Sus scrofa: one gene and its partners. The protein of the gene in region 2 interacts with the protein of the main gene of each other region in a biochemical or structural test. Links are inferred from orthologs where the notes say so. Each region holds a gene or a part of one and is shown on either strand. Other genes may lie near its edges. The genes, in order: DTX2, RUNX1 and ELF2.

Evidence for each region.
Region 1: the proteins of RUNX1 (region 2) and DTX2 form a complex in vitro, tested with the Homo sapiens proteins (2 studies listed by BioGRID, with this or other methods). The link is inferred for Sus scrofa from reciprocal best matches to the Homo sapiens genes RUNX1 and DTX2.
Region 3: the proteins of RUNX1 (region 2) and ELF2 form a complex in vitro, tested with the Homo sapiens proteins (2 studies listed by BioGRID and IntAct). The link is inferred for Sus scrofa from reciprocal best matches to the Homo sapiens genes RUNX1 and ELF2.

What each region holds. Positions count from the first base shown.
Region 1 is NC_010445.4:9,923,037-9,927,452, forward strand, and holds the start of DTX2 (probable E3 ubiquitin-protein ligase DTX2), read right to left. Parts: upstream 2,831-4,416; 5' UTR 2,825-2,830; coding exon 2,665-2,824; exon of another isoform or gene 1,335-2,664; intron 841-1,334; exon of another isoform or gene 634-840; intron 1-633. UniProt on the Homo sapiens protein: Regulator of Notch signaling, a signaling pathway involved in cell-cell communications that regulates a broad spectrum of cell-fate determinations.
Region 2 is NC_010455.5:198,415,140-198,418,787, forward strand, and holds part of RUNX1 (runt-related transcription factor 1), read right to left. Parts: intron 947-3,648; coding exon 755-946; intron 1-754.
Region 3 is NC_010450.4:87,872,109-87,875,756, reverse strand, and holds part of ELF2 (ETS-related transcription factor Elf-2), read right to left. Parts: intron 1,280-3,648; coding exon 1,087-1,279; intron 1-1,086. UniProt on the Homo sapiens protein: Isoform 1 transcriptionally activates the LYN and BLK promoters and acts synergistically with RUNX1 to transactivate the BLK promoter. Isoform 2 may function in repression of RUNX1-mediated transactivation.

The DNA of each region.
Region 1 (4,416 bases), on a different chromosome or scaffold from region 2:
TCATCACCCCCTCCCATCCCTCCCAAAGAGCTTCAAGGATGACCTGTTACCCCATATACCTCCAGTCTCCCCAACTCTGTGCCTCAACTCTACCCAGAATCCCAACTCACTTGGCCACCCATCCTTAGCTGACCCACATTTTCAAGACCCTTCTAAACACCCCCAGGATGCCATGATGCGCCCCCTTGAAAGAAAACCCCCTCTTATCAACTTCCAAGCATTCTGTCTTCTGCAGCTGTGTCCATTCCATCTCTGATGAGACCAGGGGCAGCCAGAGGGCAACGGACCTGTCTACACCCCTCTGCCAGAAGGTGGAATGGTGTAAGGAAATGGTCACAAAGACAGTGATCCAATCTAATCCATTCCACACTTTCCAGCCAGGGTGCTCACTTAAAATGCCCTTCAGGGAGTTCCCTGGTGGCCTAGCGGCTAAGGATTCAGTGTTGTCACTGCTACAGCTTGGGTTCAATCCCAGGCCTGGGAACTTCTGTGTGCCGTGGGCATGGCCAAGATAAAATAAAATAGAATGTCGTTAGACTACTCTAATAGTCTGACTATTCTTCTGATAGTCTTTCTGTTACCCTGAGCTTTGGCATGGCCCACAAAAGCCCCCACACTCAGCGATCTGCCTACCTTTCCAGACTTCTCTGCTCCACACCCACTCGCTGTTGCTCCAGTCACACTGAGCTACTTATAGTGGCCCAGACATGCCAGGTGTCTTTATGATTTTGCACATGCTTACACCTCTGCCGGGCTTCACCCCCAACTTCCTCGGTGCTACTTCTTCTTCACAACTCGTCTGGAAGTATCATTTTCTGGAAGCCTTCTGGTGCTCCCCTCCTGGGCAAGTGACAGTGGGGGGGGGGTGCTCATTCACTCCTCAACATGTATCACACTGACAACACCCTGTCACTGCTTATGGTTTGTTTATCTTTTCCATCAGATAATGAGCTCCCGGAAGACACAGCTTTTGTTCATCACTGTACCCCCAGCACTGAGCACAGGGCCTGACACAAAGGAGGCACCCGCTAAAGGTGCATGCAACACAAGAAATACAAAAAGACATACAAAGTTCAAATGCAAAAATCGTGACTTGTGTCCTTCATCCCATAAAGCATGCCTGAAAGCAGAAACCATCTTCTAAGACGGGTTAAACAGGAGACGCCACTGGCAAGAAGCCACCTGAATTTATTTGAGACAGGTAGCAATCGACAATCAACTCCCAGGGCTCACTTTCATCCTGGGGACCTCAAATGCCACCCTCCCCAGTCCCCACTTTCTCTAATGAAAATCAGATTGGGAAGTCAGCAATGTGAAGTCCTTGGGGCGCTCACCTTTTCTCTCTGGAGAGCTGGCACGACCTGTGCCTTCTTGATGGAGATACCAGATCTTTAGGAGGAATAACTTGTCTGAGTTCCCATCTTGATTTAAAACACAAACAACAAAAACCGGGCAAATCTGAAAGGCTTGCTGACTCAGCGACAGAAATTCCAAGGCACTTTTGCCAACAAGGAAAATGATCAGGTTTTAAACTGAGCAGTTAGGGAAAACGAATGCACAGATGTTGGGTCTGTGTGCTGTGGCTGGGGACTGGAAATTATCCGATTTATTTTCCAACAGCCTGGGCAGAGCAGAAGGTACAGTAGTCTCCCTCTGCCCACTCGACAATCAAGGGGATGATTTAAAAAAAAAAAAAAATTCCTAAGCCCTTCCACAGAAAGGCCTGAAAGGACTTTGTAAGCCCGTCTGCAATGCAGGCAGCCAAGAAATCAACACACCAGAGAAGGTAAAAGTTTAGCCAAAGTCACACAGCAAACGAACAAGAAGCCTAATTATAGTTACCCTGAAGCCTAATTATAGTTACCCTGATAGTTTAAGTAAAGCCTGATCCTGGCTACCAGAAAGTCCGCCTTCTAGAGCTGGAGCGGGGCTAGCTTGGCAGCAGAAATACTCTGAATTTCTTAAGGTCAAGCGTCGGTGCACACACTATTTCCACTGCTACTGGCACTTAGAGAAGAGGAACCAGCGCGCAGGACTGTAGCTGTCTGAGAAAGGGTAGTTCCAGCAAAAAGTCTTCTAAATTCTCTTCTCAGCATACATTACGCCCTCCCCCCGAAAAGCGACCCAGGGTCCCAGGAGATAGGCACTTCCTGGAAGACGGACCCTACTTGCGACAGGAAAGCAGAGTTAGGAGGCAAACTCCTCTCAAGTATAGTCTCCGACTCCCGTGAGTCGTCCACCAGGAGGCAGACGCCGGCGGAACCCACACCCTAACCACACACCGGGTGGCAATATCACCACCGCGTCCTCCAGGTCCTGTGGGAAGGGTTACACTCCTCCGGACGGACCCAAACTCCCAGAGTCTGCGCCCCTCCCCCTGCCAGCCCTGCGGCTTGCACCTCGGCGTTCACTCTCCCACACGGTCCGGTCCTAAACTCCCAGCGGCTCGCAGTTCCCACAGCTCTCGCCTCAGGGGCCTCCACCCGAAGGCCAGCCCTCACAATCCCCCCCGGACCCGACCCCGACCCCAGGGCTCGTCTCCGGCCCGGCCCAGCCCTCCCTCACGCCCACGCCCGCCCCCTTCCGGTCCCAGTTCGGCTCCTGCCCCGCGTCACCGGGACCCTAGCCCTGTCGAGGAGCAGGTGGCCTGCCCGCCCCTCTCACCGAGGCTGAGGAGGGAGAGAGGGGAGGCGAAAGACACCGCCGCACTCAGGCTGCAGCTCCGGCTCGGCCTGGGCACGGCTCCGGCTGTAGCTCCCACTCTAAGGAGAAGGCAGCCTGAGTGAAACTCGGCGTCGCAGCTTCCTTGCGTTCCAGTGCGCATGCCCAGGAGGCTGGGCCTTCTGGGAAATGTAGTTCCAGCGGGGCCGCGGAGGCGGGGCTGAACACAATATGCACCTGTTGTGGGGGTAGCTCTCCCAAAAGAGCTTCCTATCTAGTTAGCGAAACAGCCACTTAAACCCACAACTACAATATAGTATGATAAATGTAATAAAGGAGTGAGAGCATAGAGAGGAGTACCTACTGGGGGCAGGGACGGATCCCAGAGGAGGTGACACCTGAATTGGATTTTGAAGCCCCTATAGGAGGGTTTGCCAGATGGACTACCCTTGCAAAGGATGAAAGATTTGAAAGTGACCTATGCATTCAGGAAGCAGTGAAAAGTTCTGTTTGGCGAAGGCAAAGGATGAGTAGACGCCTAATTTATCCCTCCCCCTCCTTTCCTCTTTGGTAACTCTAAGTTTGTTTTAAAGCATTGAATTTTAAAAGGATACCCTTTAAAAAAAAGGGGGGGGGGAGTTCCCATCGTGGCTCAGCAGTTAACGAACATGATTAGCATCCATGAACACATGGGTTTGATCCCTGGCCTCACTTAGTGGGTTAAGGATCCAGCTTTGCTCTGAGATGTGGTGTAGGTCACAGACTCAGCTCGCATCCCACGTTGCTGTGGCTGTGGCATAGGCTGGCAGCTGTGGTTCTGATTGGACCCCTAGCCTGAGAACATCCATATGCCTCAGATGTGGCCCTAAAAAGACAAAAATAAATAATGAAAGAATACCCTTGTGGGGAGTTTCCATTATGGCGCAGTGGGTTAAGGATCCGGTGTTGCCAGAGCTGTGACATAGGTTACAGCTGAGGCTTGGATTCAGTTTCTGGCCCAGGCACGTCCATATGCCTCAGGTGCAGTAAAAAAAATAAATAAATATGATACCCTTGTGGCGGGTAGAGGATATGGAATGGAGTGGGGAGACCGGTTTGGAGGCTGTTGTTGTCGTCCAGGTCAAAGGTGATGAGGTCTAAACCAGGCTGGTGATTAATCTTTCAGTATCACAGACCTTCTTTACAAAGCTGAAGAAAGCTATTCCCAGAAAAATTCTCAGCTGTGTTCACACGTGTGTATGCACACAGACATTATTCTTCTTTTTACAGCTGTACCTACGGCACTTGGATGTTCCAGGCTGGGAGTTCAATGAGAGCTGCAGCTGCAGCCTTTGCCACAGCCACAGCAACATCTGTGGATCCGAGCCACATCTGCCACCTATGCTGCAGCTGGCAGCCACGCCAGATCCTTAACCCACTGAGTGAGGCCAGCAACCTAATCCCCATCCTCGGAGAGACAATTTCAGGTCTGTAATCCACTGAGCCACTGTGGGAACTCCCACACAGATGTTTTGTATATGTTCCTGGAGGTTCGAAGTCCTTTGAATCTTGGACTCCAATTAAGTAGCCTTACATAGGGGTTCCCACTGTGGCTCAGTGGATTGTGAACCAGACGAGTATCCAGGAGGACACAGGTTCAATCCCTGGCCTTGCTCAGTGGGTCAAGGATCTGTCATGGCTGTGGCTGTGGCTGTGGGGTAGGCTGGCACCCGCAGCTGCGATTCGACCCCTGGCCTGGGAACTTCCATATGCCGC
Region 2 (3,648 bases):
GTCCTGCACGGACCCGAGAAAATGACTGCATTTCGGAAATTTGAAATGGTATCACAGAGCAAATAATCATTGACGTCAGCAGTTTCTACAGTGTAAATGAACCCTGCGTATTATCTAATTTGGCACAGTGGGTTTTATGCCATTATTGTATTTTACAGTGTTTTTGCAACTGCCAGCTAACCCCATCGTGGGTGGGGGTGGTGGATAGCCTGCATTCTTTATTGATTGCAAATTTATTTATTGCAATGAATACGCTCCATGTGATGGTATCCAGAAACTCCTATTTTCTTCATATTCTCAAAAAAAAAAAAAAAAAAACTGTATTAAATACAACCCCCACGAACATTCTGTAGACGGTAAGAACTTAAAAACTCCTGGCCTTCACCTTGCTTAATGTGTGTATACGTGTTTTCCAGCCAAGCAGGTGAGAAATTAGCATAGCCAAAGCTAACTCTTAAAAAATTAAAGATCTTATCGGCAGAGTGATACAGATCTGTCCGTATCCTCTCGGTATCCTATGCAGCAGTGCCTCTAAATCAGGGGATCTTCTTACAATGCAGATCTGACTCAGTAGGTCTGGGGCAGCCGAGACTCTGCTGCTAACCAGCTCCCAGGCTGCTGGTTGAGGGACCACCCTTCCTGAGTATGAAGGAGAAGCCAGGATTGGACTAGGAGGGTTCTGCCCCAGGGCTGGGGGTGGCGGGGGTGGGGTGGGGGGAGTGAGGCAGGAAGCGGGCTCCGTCCGGGTACTTACCCTGCATCTGACTCTGAGGCTGAGGGTTAAAGGCAGTGGAGTGGTTCAAGGAGGCCCGAGGGTTGGGTGTGGGGGCTGGGTGGTGTGGGCTGACCCTCATGGCCGTGCGCCGCAGCTGCTCCAGTTCACTGAGCCGCTCGGAAAAGGACAAGCTCCCGGGCTTGGGCTGATCATCTAGTTTCTGACGATGTCCTATTGCGGGGAGGAGGTGGGGAAGGGAGAGGGAGGCAGGGAAGGAGGGAGGGAAGAGATCAGAAAATGTATTGTGGATTTGCTAAAATTCGGGCTTTTCTCCTCTTTCCCCTCCCTCTCCCCTCACCCCCAACGTGGATCCGCTGGAGAGTTTTGCACAGGTAGCTGTTCCCGTTGGGAATTCGGGGCCATTTTTCCCCACAGCAGACTGGGGCCCGTTTTGTCGCACTGGCCACTGGGTGTTCCGCCGGTCTGGGCCTGGCACCCACCCCGACTCCCTGCATCCATCTCCACTGTGTGGAACGCAGTGGGCATACAGGGCTTGGTGGCGGTGGTGATGGTGGGAGGGAGAGAAGGGGCATTAATTGGCTTATGGCATCTCTGTGGGCTGAGCTGAGGCGGGCAGGAAAGGAGCCCTCTTGGTGGCATGGGAACAGCTGCCCCAACTCCACACCCAACCACCGGCAGGTTTCAGAGGCAGCAAAGTGGGCCCTGGAGCTTAGAGGCGTGCCCCTTACAACAGGAAATGAGGTGTAGCTGCAAACCCACAGCCCGGGGAGGTCAGATTTCCTGTTAAGTGCCCAGGATGGGCAGCCCCTTGCCACCCACCCCCTCCTCTGCTTGCAAGCTTTGCGCCAGCATCCTTTCTTTTCTGAAGCCCACTTCTCCAAGTGCACCCCAAGTGTGGTGTAGCCCTGGACTCATTCAGTCCAAGTTTCCCAGCAGGCAGAGCTCACTGGAGCCCCAAGGGAGCCACCAGCACACTGGACAAGCCTGGGGCCTCAGGAATCCAAGGTGCGGGTGGGCCCCTTGGCATCTGTATCGACAGTAAATTTCCTTGCTCTGGTCAAAATCACCATCACCAGGATGCAGAGAGCAGAAGTCATTCCTTGGAGAAGGGTTGGGGCTCCCGCTTCCTCCCTTAATCCTTCACCAAAATGTCTTTAAACCAGAGACTCAGGCCTGCCCAGTGGAGCTGAGGCTCCTTGTACTAATGGAGCCATAATGGGGCTCAGCCAATTCAATCCTCTTTCAAAGAGGCTGCCCTTCTGCTCCTGCCTCACTCCCATGGTTCAAAGAAAGAGTCATTGACCGGTTTCACAAAACCACCCGATTGTCAAGTGGCCTCCAAACAAGATTGGAGGAGCAGCCTCCTGGCCCCAGACCTCAGTGAGAAAGAGGATTCCTTGACTCCACGCCCCCCAGCCGGGGGTGGGGTGGGGGTGGGAGAGGGACTTTTGAGCCCAGCTCCCAATGGCTACAATTATAAAATTAAATTTTATAACTTGTATTATGGTTCCAAATCTCCGTGGCTTGCCATTTCTTCCTGCTGCCAGCCCCCTTGGCACAGCTGACACTGTCTCAAATTCCAGACCAGAAAAAGGACCCACTATATTGCAGTGATTTTTATCACGAACAAGACCTGTTTGGCTCCGAAAGGAGGAAAAATACTTAAGCATAATATTTGTGTGGTTCAAATGCAACGCTCCCTCTTTTCATGTGTCACCAAGGCAAAACTGGACTCTGATTCAGCCCCACAGCCCGCAACACTCGGTCTGAACACAAGCAGCTGAGTCACGAGGGCCCAGCACACATGCGAGAGGCCTCTTACCGGCGGAGTATTTTAAGCACCGGTCTTGTGGGCGAAAGGCCATGGGGCCAGGTCCCGGAACAACCCCTGTCATCCCTTTCCTTCAGAAGTACGAAAACATCTTTTTCTAGAACGTTCTATTTCAATCATCGAGTCACTCGTTGTCTCCGGATGGAGCTTTCTTTGACTCCTCCCTTTCAACTTCCTGAAGTTTTCTTGCAGAACAGCAAACGATTTCAACTCAAAAGCCACCCAAAGCATAATAATCTTTTAAATGGCTACCACGACCTAATGCCTGGTATGGGGAGTCAAGGAGAGAAGGCGGCAGGAAAAATGATTCTGGAAAGTTCTACCACTTCAGAAAGAATGCCAGTTGGCAAAGTTATGGTGCAGAGGCTGCTGGCAGGTCTTGTACCCATTTCTAAATTTCACATTCCTTGGGCACCCAGTGGCATTTTTGAAGAACACCATGTCAAGGACAGTGGGTGATCATCGTGGGGAATGATATGTACCAGATCATTCTGAACACATGTCATTCGGTGTTTTGGAGTCTCCAGCCAACCTTTGAAGAGAGGCCTTCAGTTGTGTCTGCCTCAGCCACCAAGCTTGGGGACCATGTGCCACCAAGAAACCAAGAGGAATAAGTGATTTTACAGGTAAGCCACTACTGTGGCCAGGCACAACGAAGGGAAAAAAAAAAAAATGTTTTTTTTTAAACCCCTCTCGTTGCCCTGCACTTAAAAAAAAAAGTTTCAACATGTGAGCAATTTCTGCACCAGCTGACACCTGCCAAAATCGTAGTCATTTATAGAGATTAACTGATGACTGTCTGCTTGAGCAGGAATGTTTGGGCATAGCTCTCAGAGAAAACAATTCTTCACTCTAAGCTTTTTCCTAAGCCCTCAGAGTCGCGGGGCTGAGTTGAATGCCAGAGGAGGGGGTGAGAGTTCATTCCGCACCCTCCCCACGTGTGATCCCACCAGCAAGTAAGGCCATTATTACCCCTGCAGGGAACCCAGAGCCCCGGCATCACAGCTAGTGCCAAAGAGTTCTAACACCAGGACACCGGGGAAATAAAAAGCATTATCGTATTGAAGGTGTGGTTCGGATG
Region 3 (3,648 bases), on a different chromosome or scaffold from region 2:
GTGATGGCAACTATTTACACAGTACTTACACTGTATTAGGTATTATATGCAATCTAGAGATAAAGTATATAGGAGGAAATTCCCTGGTAGTCTAGTGGTTAGGACCCACTATTTTCACCACTATGGCCTGGGTTCTAACCCTGGTCTGGGAACTGAGATCCCACATCAAGCTGCTGCATGCCAAAGCCAAAAAAAAAAGTGTATGGGGGTTACAGATAAACTACCCACTTCATATTTTGCTATCCATAGGGGTTCTTGGAACCATCTCCTTCAGATACTGAGAGATGACTACATTTTACAGACATTGGCAACAAGTCCATTCTGATTTACATATGTTATAAAAACAGTCTCCTATTATGTGGTAAAAGTACCTAAGCCATGCCTATAGAGAAGAATCTGGGATATGTGAATACTATCTCTCATAAACTATGTTTACTTACAAACACCCTTAATTAGAAGAAGCCATGTATATCACAAAGTTACATGGGTGCCTCAAACTGACAGGGCAAGAGAAATTTTCTTATAAAGATAAATCCATCATAACAAATTTGCAGGAACTAAATAAAGAGCAAATTCACAATTTAGTAACTATTTTATGTGGGTCTAATTTTCCTAAAAGTGCTCATTTTCCACAAAAAATGGAAAATTTATTTCTTCCTTCTTTTTAGGGCCCACAGCATATGGAGGTTCCCAGGCTAGGGGTCGAATTGGAGCTGCAGCTGCTGGCCTAAACCACAGCCAGATCAACACCAGATCTGAGCCTCGTCTGTGACCTACACCACAGCTCACAGCCACATTGGATTCTTAACTCACTGAATGAGGCCAGGAATGGAACCCACATCCTCACGGATACTAGTCAGGTTCTGAACCCTCTGGGCTACCACAGGAATTCCTGGTGTTGAAATTTTAGACATCCAGACCAAACCCCTTTCCCCATCTGCCTCCAAATCCAAGAATCTCCTCTAGAAAATCCCCTCTAATTAAAAGTTATAATAAATGATTTTAAGAGCTTCTCTGGAAAGAGTTAATAGACAATATTAAGGGATAGTAAGTTTTGTTTGAAAACTCTTTCTTTTGTGTTCTTACCTCAAAGCTCGTCCCATAGTTTCATAGTTCATATCTGGCTTGTTCTTATGTTTTCCCCAAAGCTTAGAGACAGCCTTTGAATCCACAAGCTTGAATATGCCTTTTTCTCTCTGAGTCCACTTAATATACCGGGGACAAGTATTTTTATCTTGAAGTAGATCTAAAAGAAACTCCCACAAATAGGTTGTGTTTCCTTTGAAAACAATGATAGACATTGTTTAAAAACTCATCAACATAATTAAAAGTAAATATTTACTTATGCTGGATAAAAAAATCAATTTACTACTGGTAAAGCACAAATATACTAGGAGTAGCATTAAATACTTGACTGTATCAAGCAATCATTTGTACAGTGTCAAACTGTGTTGTCTAGTAAATAAGAATACAAGAAAAAAGTATGAAACAATATAAGCTATATCACAAGGCCATGCATAATTATATTCCAAGTGAATGACAGAAAGTAATGTTTAGGATTTTAGGAGTGAAGATAAAGTTGTTTGGCAAGACATCATTAAGTCTTAGAAGATGTCTAAGATTTGCACTAAAGAAAAGGAAGGAATCTGGGTAGGTAAAATAGGGAACTTAGTCCCAAAAGAAAAAGCATCACTTTTTATTTTTGGAAGGTTGGGGAAGAGGAGTGGGCAGTGTTCATGAGAAGAGTAGGCTTTTCAGGCTGCTGTTTTTCTTTCCATTTTGGCCACGCCCATGGCATGCAGAAGCTATGGAGCCAGGGATCAAACCCGAGCTGCAGCATTTAAGAACCTCTAGGTGCAGAAGTTCTTAAACTGAAGGAAGAACAGAGTCCTGAGAAGATGATTAAGATATATATGCCACCACCAAGCCACCAGGTCACCTCAGGGTCCTGGTCACTAACCCTTTACTATCCTCAGACCTAGATCTAAATTACAGGCTACATGAGAAGAACTTTGAGTGTGGAGGGGACTTCCGAATCAGGCCCCTGCTACTCAATCTAAATGCTGATGCTCTTCTTCTACCATTTCATTTTCATCCTAAATTTCCCTGAAAATTCAATAAATCTATTAACCCATAGTTTAGCCCAGTGTATCTCTCTTGACCTGAAAAGATTAACCTTCAACTTTACAGTGTTACATTCCTGTCTCTGAAACCCTATTATATCAGCATTTGTGACTAAAAACTCTTACTATTAAACCACATGTGGAGTTCCCCAGTGGCCTAGCAGTTAGGGACTTTGGTGTTACTGGTATGGCACAGGTTCCATTCCTGGCCCAGTAACTTCCACATGCCAAAGGTGTGGCCAAAAAAATTAGAACAAAAAAAACCCCCCACCACCACCAAACACTCACATATCTTTCAACTCCATCACTCTCAACTAAATCAGAATGTGTAGCTGGGGCATTTTTATTAATTCTGCACGAAGTTTTTGCACAATATGCACAAGGAACACAGTTGAGATTGAATGTTTTTGTATCTGTTGAATTAATTAGATGCATCAACATCCTCAGGTTATCTTTAAGTGCTTCACCCTAGTTCCCATCCCCAGGTTAAAATGAACAATTCTATTTCGGGTTTTAAGGAAAAAAGAATTTAGAAAGAGAAGTCTTCTTTATCAGATAAGGTAGTTCACTAAATCTATGCTGACATTATCATAGTAATTCTACAGAAGAGGAAACACTGGCTGGATTTGTAATGCAGATGTGTCAGAAAAACTTTAATCTTCATATTACAACATGTTGCATCAAGTTTAATAACACTAAACAGAAATTTTAATGAAAGGTGATTCATTTTCATTGGTTTAGGTTATCACGAAATTTTTTTCCAGTGTTAAACATAAGGTCTTTGAATATAGGAGACACTGATGATGGAAATAATTTTTAAAACAGGAATAGGTAGTTCCTATTGTGGATCAATGGGTTATGAATCTGACTAGTATCCATGAGGACGAAGGTCCAATACCTGGCCTTGCTCAGTGGTTTAAGGATCAGGTGTTGCCATGAGCTGCAGTGTAGGGTCAGAGACACTGCTCGGATCTGTGTTGCTGTGGCTGTGGTGTAGGCCAGAGGCTACAGCTCTGATTAGATTTCTAGCCTGGGAACTTCCATATACCACAGATGTGGCCCTAAAAAGCAAGATATAAATAGCAAAAAATAAAAAAAAATAAGAACAGGAATAACTGTCTATTACAGTTTAACTTTCTAATATTTACTACTATTATGTAAGCCTTAAAGTTTTCAATGTAAATTGAAAGATAAAACCCAAGATAGTATAAATGTAAAACAACCAAAGATGGACAAGAAAACAAAAGTATCCTAAGTCTGTCCCAAATTGAATAAATAGTTCCTGAATATGAGTTTACTATAACTCGATTTTTTCTAACTAAATTTCTTGGTAGGCTTCTAGACTTAATTTTTAACTAGAGACTTCATTTTTGCTTTAATTATTTAAAATGAGATATACCAGACTACCTGCTAAAGATGGAATAAACTTGAATATATTAATCTAAAATGTATCCAACTACTAAAAACTTCATGGAAGCGAGAAATTTTAGTTATCAGATTATTAGAACACATCTAAAACCCTTGT